Linked DNA regions of Arabidopsis thaliana. The protein of the gene in region 1 purifies or fractionates together with the protein of each later gene. This does not show direct contact. Each region holds a gene or a part of one and is shown in the gene's direction. Other genes may lie near its edges.

Region 1 (5,745 bases):
TCTTTGTCAAACAAACTACAATTAGTAGAGCAACCCAATCATTGTTATAGAAATAGCTCATTAACCCATGTGTTTAGGTTTCCATCAAAACAGATTCATAATTTGTGTGATAAGAAGAAGAGAAGTATTTTTAGGAGTTGCCTCTCGTAGAAGTCTCTTTTTTTTTTTTTTTTGGTGAGATCAATCAAGGAACCACTTTAATCTTGATGACAATCCCAATATTTTATTCTTTTCTATTTCTTGCACAATAAAACTTAACTAACTATCTTATTTTCAATTTTAGATTTTTATGTTAATAAGTTTATATGAGCACAAAAATGGATAAATGTTTGCTACTTATACGAAAGAGATGTCATCATCTAGTCACACATGCATACTTTAAAAATGTCTTGTTAGCTACACTATATATTGTTATAACATACCGACATACACAAATAAATATAAGTTATGTTGCCAATACCATAACCATTCTACTTCGGTTGTCAGAATTATGCGTTGACCGATATTTTATTTTTGATAAACAATTAATAAATAATTATAATTTGCCCTTAAACAGAAAAAAAACTTTGGCCTAACTACAATTTCATTAACTTAGAGTTTAACTTTTGTATCAAGGGAAGGTACAATAGAGAGTATTTAGTAGATTGCTTTTTCGTTCCCAACAACCTATTCCATTTCCAGACAGAAAATCAATCCCCATCCTAATTCACTAAAAAAAAAAATCAATCTCCATCCCATTCGTGTTTGTTAGTTGAATTTGGGTCGTAATTTGGGGTTGAGTCGGATTTTAATAATTGCATATCGAATAAAAATTAAAAATTGGAATCAAAATCTTGGTCAAACAAACTGCAGTTATTGGAACACTTAATCATTGTCATAGAAGTTTGTCCAAAATAAAAACTCATTGTCATAGAAATAACTTATTAGCCCATATGTTTAGGGTTGTCATTAAAATAGATTTATATAGATTTGTATAATGAGAAGAAGGGAAGTTATCTTTAGGAGTTGCTTCTTGTGTTAACTCTCTCTTCTTCTTTTTTTGCTTTGTATGAGACCAGTCAAAGAACCACTTTAATCGTGGTGACAATCTGAATATTTTCTTCTTTTCGATTTCTTGCACAATTAAACTTAATGAACCATCTTATTTTCAATTTTAGATTTCTACTTTAACAAGCTCATATGAACACAAAAATCTATCTTGGTTTAGTTTGTCCCACAATAAATTTATTAACTTAAGAAGACTCAAGAGTTTAACTTCTATTAAGGGAATGTACAATAAAGCTATTTAGATTTCCTTCTCACCCAATTATGTCTATCCATTTGGATTAAGTGTGGGAGAGAGTATTCGTATTATCCATTTTAGTATATTACTTTTCCAAACAAAAATCAAAATACCCAAAAAATTAGAAATATTTATCTTAAAGTAGAATGTTCTCCAAATACATGTCCCAATGTGGAATTTCATTACATAAAACTTTTGAACCTAATTTAGAACCCAAAATTTTAATCCCGTCTTTGAATCAAAATAAATTGAATAATACTATCTTTTACCATCCGAATTATTTGTTTCCAATGTTTACCCTTTAACTTTCGTCCCAATCGCCGACCCACCCACCATATATTAAATGAGTCAACAAACAACAAATAAATATATTTAAAATAGAGATTTTGTGTAAATAATAAAGATTCTTTGTGCAAATTATATCTTAAATAAGGATTTGCGTTTTCCACAAAACAAAATAAATAAAGATTTGCGTAAATAACAAAGTTTCCAATTTCCATGTGCAATTATTTTCAAATATATATTTGCTATCAATGATGATTTATGTAGAAGAAGGGGTTGATACAGTAATTTAACAATAATTTATTTTAAAACATTTAAAGAGTTTGAAGTACAGATAATTTTTATTTTATTTTTTGAAAGACAGATCATATAGCAGTCGTGTTGCTCTTCATCGTAGTTATCGTCGCTGATTCACCAACAACAACAACATCACAAGAAAGCGTCCTCTTTTATAGGACCCTCTGTCCCTGTTTCTCTCTCCAGTTTTATTGTAGAATTCGCTGTCATTTTCACAACGACTCACTTCTTTCAGCTCTCTCCATTCGGCGCTCTCTTCTGGAATTGAAGAATCAAGGTAAATGATCCCACATAGATCCCAAATGTTTATAGGGGATCTGGTTCTTAATGAGATTGGTCCCTTGTTGACTTTTGACACCATTTTGTAGATTAGCAATGGCCCATACATCAGAATCTGTGAATCCTAGAGGTAACAAAACACTTTCATTAGTAAACTGAATTTGAAGGATGAATTTTTTTTTTGATATATGAATGTTGATGAATCAGATGTTTGCATTGTGGGTGTTGCACGTACTCCAATGGGTGGCTTTCTCGGATCTCTTTCATCTTTACCTGCCACAAAGCTTGGATCTTTAGCTATTGCAGGTATTAAAAAACAGTTCATGTTTCTGTGCAAAATCTTTAGCTTTATGTATAATTGACGAGCCCTTGTTGTTGTTTTTAATGATTTAGCTGCTTTGAAGAGAGCAAATGTTGATCCAGCTCTTGTTCAAGAAGTTGTCTTTGGCAATGTTCTTAGTGCTAATTTGGGTCAAGCTCCTGCTCGTCAAGCTGCTTTAGGTGCAGGAATCCCTAACTCTGTTATCTGTACTACAGTTAACAAGGTTTGTGCATCAGGCATGAAAGGTGAGAACTTTGGAACATTTGCGCTCTGCATTTTTTAGACTTTTGATTTGATGCTTTTGACAATGTTTTTCTGGTTTGTTTGGTGGTTTTTCAGCGGTAATGATTGCTGCTCAAAGTATCCAGTTAGGGATCAATGATGTAGTTGTGGCGGGTGGTATGGAAAGCATGTCTAATACACCAAAATATTTGGCAGAAGCAAGGTAAAATGATGTGGTTTTACGGAATCATTTGGTCTTTTTACTCTATGCATCATTGTTTCTTATTCGGATTTTGATGCAGGAAGGGATCTCGTTTTGGTCATGATTCTTTAGTAGATGGAATGTTGAAGGATGGACTATGGGATGTCTATAACGACTGTGGGATGGGAAGCTGTGCAGAATTATGCGCTGAGAAGTTTCAGATTACAAGGGAGCAGCAAGTATGTTGATCCTTAGTTTTCTTGAATTAAGACTCGTGATGCTTGTTGCATATTTGTACCCCATCAACTTATTATTGATAGATACTCTGCATACATCCTCTGTACAATTCCACTGCCTTGATCATTAGCCATCTGTGAACTACTAGAATTGGTTAGTTGGGCTCATTCTTTATGGAAACTCAAAACATGAGTTGATTGGTGTCTTACTGATGAATATGCAGGATGACTATGCAGTTCAGAGTTTTGAGCGTGGTATTGCTGCCCAGGAAGCTGGCGCCTTCACATGGGAAATCGTCCCGGTTAGTATATTTTTTGTAATTTTTGGTTAATGCGTTATACATGGTGAATATATACTAAGGTAATTGGTTATGCAGGTTGAAGTTTCTGGAGGAAGAGGTAGGCCATCAACCATTGTTGACAAGGACGAAGGTCTTGGGAAGGTGATTTATGTCCCCTTTTGGTTTAACGATTATGCATTTATACTCCAGTGAACCTGAGATTGTGCTTTTTCATGTTATTCACCTGTTGCATACAGATTGTTTTCTAAGTGAACTTTGCTGAACAATAGAGTATTTGCATTGACTACTGTTTTGAGAAAATTCTATTCATGTTTATGTTTTCAGTCATAAATTTTTATTCATTTGTATCTTCTACTGTATGAGGCATTACACGTCAGCAAATGAAACTTGTGGTTAAGATAACTCCAAAAAATGAGATCTAATTTAGTATGATTTGCTACATGTATGATGTCTCAATGTCTCAGTTTGATGCTGCAAAATTGAGGAAACTCCGTCCTAGTTTCAAAGAGAATGGAGGGACTGTTACAGCTGGAAATGCGTCTAGCATAAGGTCCTTTTCCTAGCTGACCATATATATGTTCTTAGCTTTTAGAGAACTCATGTAACGTATGAAGTGGATCTTGGTTAGATTTGCAACTTTTTTTTCTCTTTAGTAAATTTTGTCTCTCTTTGACAGTGATGGTGCAGCTGCCCTTGTCCTAGTGAGCGGAGAGAAGGCTCTTCAGCTAGGACTTCTAGTATTAGCAAAAATTAAAGGGTATGGTGACGCAGCTCAGGTACGTTACTTATAATCTTGCATTCCCTTTTTGAATACAATCTGATTCCATTCACTAAGTGAGACCCAAACCCTGCAGGAACCAGAGTTTTTCACTACTGCTCCTGCTCTTGCTATACCAAAAGCCATTGCACATGCTGGTTTGGAATCTTCTCAAGTTGATTACTATGAGATCAATGAAGCATTTGCAGTAAGAACATCTGTCTTCTTCCTTACATAATTGACAAACCATTGTGATGCGTAATTTTTACTAAACTGACTTTTCACAGGTTGTAGCACTTGCAAATCAAAAGCTACTCGGGATTGCTCCAGTAAGTCTTTTATATCACCGAGTCTGTTAAATCATCATCTTCTCAATCAACTTAATCAAGTGGTTTCATAAACATGGATTTTGTTCCTCTTTGCCTAAACAGGAGAAAGTGAACGTAAATGGAGGAGCTGTCTCCTTAGGACACCCTCTAGGCTGCAGTGGCGCCCGTATTCTAATCACGTTGCTTGGGATACTAAAGAAGAGAAACGGAAAGTACGGTGTGGGAGGAGTGTGCAACGGAGGAGGAGGTGCTTCTGCTCTAGTTCTTGAGCTCCTTTGATGCATTATGAATCCAGGTAACTCACATTCTGCTTAGCGTTCATAGATCGAAGATGTAGAATGCAGGAAAGGAACTCATGATCTCCTCTCATGTGTTTTCTTCTCAGGTTGGTAAACTAAATAGATGGATCTATCTCTCATCCAACTTCCATGAGTCAGTCATTGCACTTTACGTTTTATGTTAGTTGGTCTCTCAATAAAGGAGTGATCGTTGATGTTGTTAAGTCTATTTATTTATATGAACTCGGCTTCTTTTTTTCTCTTACCGGTGACAGTCAGTTATTGAATCATGGACCGATTTACCGTAGTTAATGATTTATCCTCATGTACTCATTAAAACGTCGACCAAGATTTGACATTTGATGGATAAATTTAAGTACACAATGTGTATGTAAGACAAGAAAATAATAATAATTGGACATTTCTGTAAAGGCACAAGCCTCTGCGCACTTGAGCGGCACTTAAGAAGAAAAAAAGAGACTTCAATGAAGATTTTCTCTATACAAAAAGTTTCTACTCGGAATTTACTCTGAGACATCTCTTCCAAATAGGGTGCTGATTGCCTTCCCGGGATCGCTTTGTTTAATAAGAGATTCGCCGACTAAAACCTAATAACAGGAAAAGAAAATCACATGGGAGCTAAGATCAGGTGAACCAATATCATTGTGGGCAATGTTATCTTGAACTATAAAGTTTGTGAAAGCTTACTGCTTTGACACCGGCTTCTTGAACAAAGGCGATATCTTCGGGAGTGAATAACCCAGATTCTCCAACCACCTACAATGTGAAGACAAGTTGAGGATATACAAACTTTAAGTAAGGTGTGTGTAACATTGTAAGGGGTAAGAGAAACAGGGGATGTGAAATACTACTTACAAGGATGTCTTTTTGACGGATCAGTTCGCCACGCTCTCCCTCAAGTAGCTTCTTTGTGATACCAAGATCTACCTCAAATGT
Region 2 (7,074 bases), on another chromosome or scaffold:
ACAAGACACCACAAGTTTTCAAAGCCACCACTTAGTTTGTTTGTTTTTTTGTGCATTGGTTTGAATAATTGTACATCACAAAACTATATTCCGATATTACACCACTTGTATTCATTGTTCGTTACACTTTGTGTTTATATATATAGTACATAATCTTTATTACAACAAACAATACAATTCTCTCTATTATTCTCTAAAACAATCTTCCTTTTCTCCAAAAAAATATTTCTTTTCTCCAAAACAATCTTCCTTTTCACCAAACAATCTTCTTTTTCTCCAAACATTTATCTTCATAGTTCATCAAACATGAGATCTTCTTCATCTTATAATCTTGACGATAAGTTTGATCAATTTTTCAATGAAACATTATAGAGATATGTTGATCGTCAACCAACCAAGTCAACAAAAATGAGCATATATTGCAAGAGATCGTGAACTAGGACACATCCAGTTGTAGAACGATTATTTCAAAGAAGATGCGACATTCCCTCCTCATATATTGTGACACCGATTTAGAATGAACAAGCCATTGTTTATACGTATTGTTGACGGACTCTCCAATGAAATTTCATGCTTTGAACAAAGAAGAGATGTTATCGGCAGGTTAGGTTTATCGGCACTACGAAGTGTACAACAACAATTCATATGATTGCATATGGTTGTTCAGTGGATGCGGTTGACGAATACCTACAGATTGTGAAAGCACTTCGATATCATGTATGATACATTTTGTTGAATGAATTATATATTTGTTTGGGAAAGAGTATCTAAGTAGACCTACACGACAAGATCTTAAACGACTACTCCGTATTGGAGAGGTACATGAATTTTTTGGGATGATAGGAAGCATCGATTGTATGCACTGGAAGTGGAAGAATTGCCCCACCTTTTGGAAAGGATAATATACACGTGTATCTGGCAAACCGGCAATAGTGTTAAAGGCTATTGCTTTCCAAGATCTTTGGATATGACATACTTTTTTTGGACCTCCAGATTTCTTAAATGATATATATACTTGATTGCTTACCAGTTTTTGATGATAAATTACAAGGTCGAGCTCCAAAAGTGAAATATATCGTCAACTGGACCTACTATCATTTGGTTTATTATCTCACTGATAGAATTTATCCTAAATGGGCTACATTTATCCAATCTATTTCAATTCCACAAGGTCACAAAGATTCTTTATTTGTTACAAATTAAGAAGCTTGTTGTCAAAATGGTTAACGTGCTTTGGGAGTTTTGCAAACTTGGTTTGTAATTGTCAATCCAGCTCTTATTTGGGATAAGAAAAAAATAGGAATGATCATGCGAGCATGCATAATACTTCCCAATATGATAGTAGAGGATGAACAAGATAAGTACATTCAGTTTGATGCAGCTGAATTCACACAACCAAAATCAACCAGCTCTTTACAAATGGATTTCAACTATTTTACAGATATGCTTTCAAATCTCGGCAATATTATGGCCGCTCGAGCCCGAGTTCGTGATCTGGCTATACATCCACAATTGAAAGCTAATTTGGTTAAGCATATATAACAAACATTTGGCGGGAATTAAGCTAACAATTAATCGTTATTCTGATTTTCGATTTTCGTATTTTATATATGCTTTTATGTCATGTATCTTTAAAATTGGTGTATTTGCAATAACTATTCAGTTTTATAAAATAAAATATTTATAATTTTTATTTTAATAATAATTTTTTTTTAAAAGCCCACTTTTTTCATTAGACAAAAAAAATTTAACAATCTATCCAAAACTCTTAAATTTGAATTTGATAAAATTTATAATTAAAAGATTTGGAAGAGCCCCATAAAAAGCTCTTGGACTTGCTTTTAGTTTTAAAATTGTTAAGGCTAAATATCTTTTTTTTTTTTGTCAACCATGTACATATATCTTGGTGATGGTGAGAGTCAAACAAAAGAATCTTGAATCTTATAGATCTAACGGTACATATCCACCCACGTGGCGAAATCCAACCACTTCATTCGCACCCGATCAACATCGAGTCAGCATTCACTCATCACTCAAATCCAAAACCAAAAGGAGACGCTTATACAAAGAAGCAGACGACAACACCAAACTCCGATCATCATCATCAACAACAACAACAACAACAACGATGCTGCTTCGAATTTCTGGTAAAAATCTCGATTCTCTTGTACTCGAATCAAAATCTGCAGACTTCGATACTATCGAAGCTAGTTTTTGTTACTGTTTTCAGGTAACAATCTGAGACCTTTGAGACCACAATTTCTCGCTCTTCGAAGCTCTTGGTTATCAACTTCGCCGGAGCAATCTACTCAACCACAAATGCCTCCGGTGAGTTCTTAGATCGATTTCGATGTGATTTTTATTCAAAAGTTTTGATTTTTCGATGTGGGTTCTGTTTTCAGAGAGTACCAAATCTTATTGGAGGTTCTTTTGTTGAGTCTCAATCATCTTCGTTTATCGATGTTATAAACCCTGTAAGCAAACTCTCTTATGAGTCCTATACTCTTGTTTGATTACTTAAAGGTTTGAACTTTGAAGTAAATTCTGATTTGCTATTATTAGGCTACACAAGAGGTTGTATCTAAAGTTCCATTGACTACTAATGAAGAGTTTAAAGCTGCGGTATCCGCTGCGAAGCAAGCGTTTCCGTTGTGGAGAAACACGCCGATTACTACCCGGCAGCGTGTTATGCTAAAGTTTCAAGAGCTTATACGCAAGAATATGGTAGCTACCTGGTTTAGTTTGCTATGATCTTGATATGTGCTTGGCTGAAAGTTTTGATTTTTCTGTAGGATAAACTTGCTATGAACATCACAACCGAGCAAGGGAAGACTTTAAAGGATTCACATGGTGATATCTTCCGTGGGTTAGGTTAGTATTTTATTTATGTATTGTAGGTTTGATTATATGATTGACAAGAAGAGGAGAACCTTAGTGCTTATTTTTGGTACATGGTTTCTTACGCAGAGGTTGTGGAGCATGCGTGTGGAATGGCAACCTTACAGATGGGTGAATATCTCCCCAATGTGTCGAACGGAGTTGATACATATAGTATTAGAGAGCCATTAGGTGTTTGTGCTGGCATTTGTCCTTTTAACTTTCCAGCCATGATTCCTTTATGGGTAACATGCTAAGCCCTTTTTTATATGGCTTCATTATGTATATCGTTAATTCTTTGTGATTCTCTTATGTGAATTCTGCGTATTTATTATGTGTTTGTTAGTGCAGATGTTTCCTGTTGCAGTGACATGTGGTAATACCTTTATTCTGAAGCCATCAGAGAAGGATCCCGGTAAAATACCCTTATTCCTTCGAACTATTCCAGTTACTAATAGACACTTCTGTGGTGTTTAATTGATGTATGGGAAGTTCAAGATGTCTTGACTTTCAGATCATGTTGTAACATATCGTTGATGCCAGTGTAGTGAACATGCATTTTACTACCACCGCCAATGTGATGAGCGAAATGTATTGTTGATTGACTGTTTTCCACTATAGCTATAGAGGTCCCTTCTATTGATTGGTTGATTATTGATATTACTTGCTTTCTCCAGGTGCTTCTGTAATACTTGCCGAGTTGGCAATGGAAGCTGGTTTACCTGATGGGGTTCTCAATATCGTTCACGGAACCAATGTAGGTTATGTTTAAACTTTCTGCTCTTTCTAAATTTCTTATTTGTTAGCATTTGAATTGTTAAAGTAAGGATCCCGTCGAGAGATATTATGGTGAATATTCTAGTTTGCAATTAGAGTAACCTAGTTTGTAAAGATTCCGCACTATTACCTTCACTTTCTTTGTTGTCACTGAAAATGCATCTGTTGCACAGGATACTGTGAATGCTATCTGTGATGATGAAGATATAAGGGCTGTTTCTTTTGTTGGCTCCAACACGGTAAGTACTTTTTTTTTTATGTTGCTCTTTTATAGCCTGCAGACTTGGCTTTGCATTTGACCGAGTTATTTACAAATATTCATTTAGTCAGTGTCCTGTGTAATTATTTCAGCTGTCTAATAAAACGTTAATTGTATACAAAATCATACCTTAGATCTTCAAAATCTGTCAATATGGACTGGTAATGGCAGAATTGCTTTTCTTCTGAGCTCAACCTTTTCGTTAAACTTGCGTATTAATGCATTGTTTTGTTTAAAGGCTGGAATGCATATATACGCAAGAGCAGCAGCAAAAGGAAAACGTATTCAGGTAAAGTCTTGCATCTTTTCCCATTTAAAAGTCTTCCTTGCTATTTCGAAACGACACTATGTCAAATTGCTTATAATATATTGACTCAGTCAAATATGGGGGCGAAAAATCATGGACTTGTCTTGCCTGATGCCAACATCGATGCAACTTTAAATGCGCTACTTGCTGCTGGGTTTGGTGCCGCTGGACAGAGATGCATGGCACTGAGTACAGTGGTTTTTGTTGGCGATGCAAAATCATGGTACTGCTTACTTTATATATTCAAATTACTCCAGTTTCTCGAATATCTTATATTTCTTGTGATAAACACATTTTCCTGTAATCTTTTTCTCTCGTACGGTTTCCAGAACCACGCCTTTAGGGTGCTTAAGCCATATATAGGATAGTTAAGATAACACCATTTTCTTTAATTTAGATTGACTATTGTTGTGTCCTAATACTAAATGTAACTGAAGAATATGTATGAGGCCTGTTGATTTTCATTTGACAGTCATGAAAGATTAGCTTTAACTTGTCTAATACTAACCAGGGAGGATAAACTCGTTGAGCGAGCTAAGGCCCTTAAAGTCACATGTGGGTCAGAACCAGATGCAGACCTGGGTCCTGTGATTAGTAAACAGGTATTTTCGCGCACAAACCTCTGAACTTACATGTGTAAAAATTATGTTTAGTTTTGCATTCTGTCTGTTGTTCAATATGTATACGTTATTGTTAAATTTTGATATGACTAGGCGAAAGAACGGATATGCCGGTTGATTCAGTCTGGTGTAGATGATGGTGCTAAATTGCTGCTTGACGGAAGAGATATTGTGGTATTTTCCCATTCTCCATATTTACTGCTATTGCAACAGACTCATGCCTTAAATATAGCACTACCCTCCACATTCTTATCAAATAGTAATCATCAAGAACCGCAGAAATATCTTGATTTAATAATCTTTGTGTAATCTTGAAAACAACGCAAAGATCAACTGGTCCGAGAAGTTTATATGTTTTCTCTTATAACAAACAGGTTCCAGGATATGAGAAAGGGAATTTTATCGGTCCTACCATTCTATCTGGTGTTACCCCAGACATGGAGTGTTACAAGGTATTTTCTGACATTAAGGCAAATGATCCGTACTCTACTTGAATCTTAAAAATTCATTTTTCTTCGCAGGAGGAAATATTTGGCCCTGTTCTTGTGTGCATGCAGGTCAGATTGGAAAACTAGTCTTATATCATTCATTTATTCGTGAATTGTGAGATTAATGCCCTCTGATGCTTTTGTGACATATTCATTTACAGGCAAACAGTTTTGATGAGGCCATATCTATAATAAATAAAAACAAGTAAAACACCCTGTTCTATCATCATCTTAATACTAAAATTTAATCGTCTCATCATCTTCAACAATTTGCTACTTACGCCGTCAACAGGTATGGGAACGGTGCTGCGATTTTCACGTCGTCCGGGGCAGCAGCAAGAAAGTTCCAGATGGACATAGAAGCAGGACAGGTATGAAGAACTTTGGGCCCTATAAAATACAACATTACTTGTATGCATTTGATTACATGTTTGATATCTTCTTTTGTTGTTGTTAATGTTTGCCCAGATCGGTATTAATGTTCCAATCCCGGTTCCATTACCGTTCTTTTCCTTCACCGGGAACAAGGCCTCATTCGCAGGAGATCTTAACTTCTATGGTAAAATTCTTGTCACAACTAAACAAAAGAAGATCCATTCTCCTTTCTCTTTGCTTATATATATACTTTGAGTGAACTATTTTTGCAGGCAAAGCAGGAGTGGACTTTTTCACTCAGATCAAAACTGTTACACAACAGTGGAAAGATATTCCAACTTCAGTATCTCTGGCAATGCCAACGTCTCAAAAGCAATAATGAGACCTTAACTTCAAATACTTTTTTTACTTTTGGATTATCGAATCAGCTTCAAGAAGAACCCTTTGTTTATTTTTCAGCTCTCTAGTATTTTCTCATGCTTAGTTTCCTTCTTTTAATCACTATGGTGACTAGAACTCTAGAAGTAACCATGGGAATAAGAAAAAGTAAAAATCTCAAATTTGCCTAATTTGTCAAATAAAACCCCTAAATGACATTCTTTGAGTCGTAAACTCATAAAAGTCAAAGTGAAACTTATATATACAAGTTATTATGTGTCTTCATTCCCAATTGAAACCCAAAAATCCCTGAATTCAATAAACTCGAATTACGAAATTTTGAGTTTTATTTTGACTGTTTTTTAATTATCATGTAAACAACTCAATCTACATGGACCATGACCAAAGAAAACTGAAACCTTAAACCTATAAAGTAGTATCATTATTTAGTGAAAACTAGTTCCCAAAAAAAATCACTAGTTTAAACCTTATTGTATTTTTTGAACTTTAAGATGTTGTAGACTCATCAAAGTCAAAGTTAACGATCTTTAATTTATTGTGTTTTTTCTTTTCCAATTAAAACCCAAAATTCAATAATCTTTGGATCGAAAATTTGAGTTTTGTTTTGACTGTTTTTCTAATTATCATCTAAACAAACTATACACGACCATGACCAAAAAACATAAACTTTTCGCCTTCCACTATAAAAGTATCATCATTTAGTGTAAACTAGTTCCAAGAAAAAAATACACTTGTTTCAAACCATATTAGAGTTAATAGCATTTATCGATATCATCACATGCATTTACCGCTAACCTTTTTCTATAAATTGACTAAAGTGTCTCTCATTTTATGTCACTCATAAAATTGCTATGTTTTCTACTTAGAAATCACTACTTGTTTTTGAACTCTCTTACTCTTTCAAAATGGCTTCCACAAATGTTGAATTCACGTGCTATGTTGGCAATTTGGAGTCGGACACAGAAGAAAATG

The links.
Region 2: the proteins of ACAT2 (region 1) and ALDH6B2 fractionate together in Arabidopsis thaliana (co-fractionation; one large-scale study listed by BioGRID). This does not show direct contact.

What each region holds. Positions count from the first base shown.
Region 1 is NC_003076.8:19,551,614-19,557,358, reverse strand, and holds ACAT2 (acetoacetyl-CoA thiolase 2), read left to right. Parts: upstream 1-1,827; 5' UTR 1,828-2,138; intron 2,139-2,229; 5' UTR 2,230-2,236; coding exon 2,237-2,270; exon of another isoform or gene 2,271-2,328; coding exon of another isoform or gene 2,329-2,347; coding exon 2,348-2,446; intron 2,447-2,533; coding exon 2,534-2,707; intron 2,708-2,801; coding exon 2,802-2,907; intron 2,908-2,986; coding exon 2,987-3,125; intron 3,126-3,346; coding exon 3,347-3,424; intron 3,425-3,499; coding exon 3,500-3,565; intron 3,566-3,888; coding exon 3,889-3,974; intron 3,975-4,100; coding exon 4,101-4,200; intron 4,201-4,278; coding exon 4,279-4,389; intron 4,390-4,468; coding exon 4,469-4,510; intron 4,511-4,612; coding exon 4,613-4,789; 3' UTR 4,790-4,805; intron 4,806-4,895; 3' UTR 4,896-5,217; downstream 5,218-5,745. Other genes in the region: AT5G48220 (Aldolase-type TIM barrel family protein), read right to left, coding at 5,313-5,396, 5,497-5,565, 5,665-5,745. UniProt on the Arabidopsis thaliana protein: Catalyzes the condensation of two molecules of acetyl-CoA to produce acetoacetyl-CoA. Generates the bulk of the acetoacetyl-CoA precursor required for the cytosol-localized, mevalonate-derived isoprenoid biosynthesis.
Region 2 is NC_003071.7:5,976,735-5,983,808, reverse strand, and holds ALDH6B2 (aldehyde dehydrogenase 6B2), read left to right. Parts: upstream 1-1,909; coding exon 1,910-2,147; intron 2,148-2,192; exon of another isoform or gene 2,193-2,230; coding exon 2,231-2,328; intron 2,329-2,402; coding exon 2,403-2,474; intron 2,475-2,562; coding exon 2,563-2,724; intron 2,725-2,792; coding exon 2,793-2,871; intron 2,872-2,967; coding exon 2,968-3,122; intron 3,123-3,228; coding exon 3,229-3,292; intron 3,293-3,554; coding exon 3,555-3,634; intron 3,635-3,827; coding exon 3,828-3,893; intron 3,894-4,151; coding exon 4,152-4,202; intron 4,203-4,291; coding exon 4,292-4,443; intron 4,444-4,731; coding exon 4,732-4,822; intron 4,823-4,933; coding exon 4,934-5,014; intron 5,015-5,214; coding exon 5,215-5,292; intron 5,293-5,361; coding exon 5,362-5,397; intron 5,398-5,489; coding exon 5,490-5,533; intron 5,534-5,620; coding exon 5,621-5,699; intron 5,700-5,796; coding exon 5,797-5,887; coding exon of another isoform or gene 5,888-5,958; exon of another isoform or gene 5,959-5,975; coding exon 5,976-6,082; and 2 more. Other genes in the region: AT2G14160 (RNA-binding (RRM/RBD/RNP motifs) family protein), read left to right, coding at 7,008-7,074.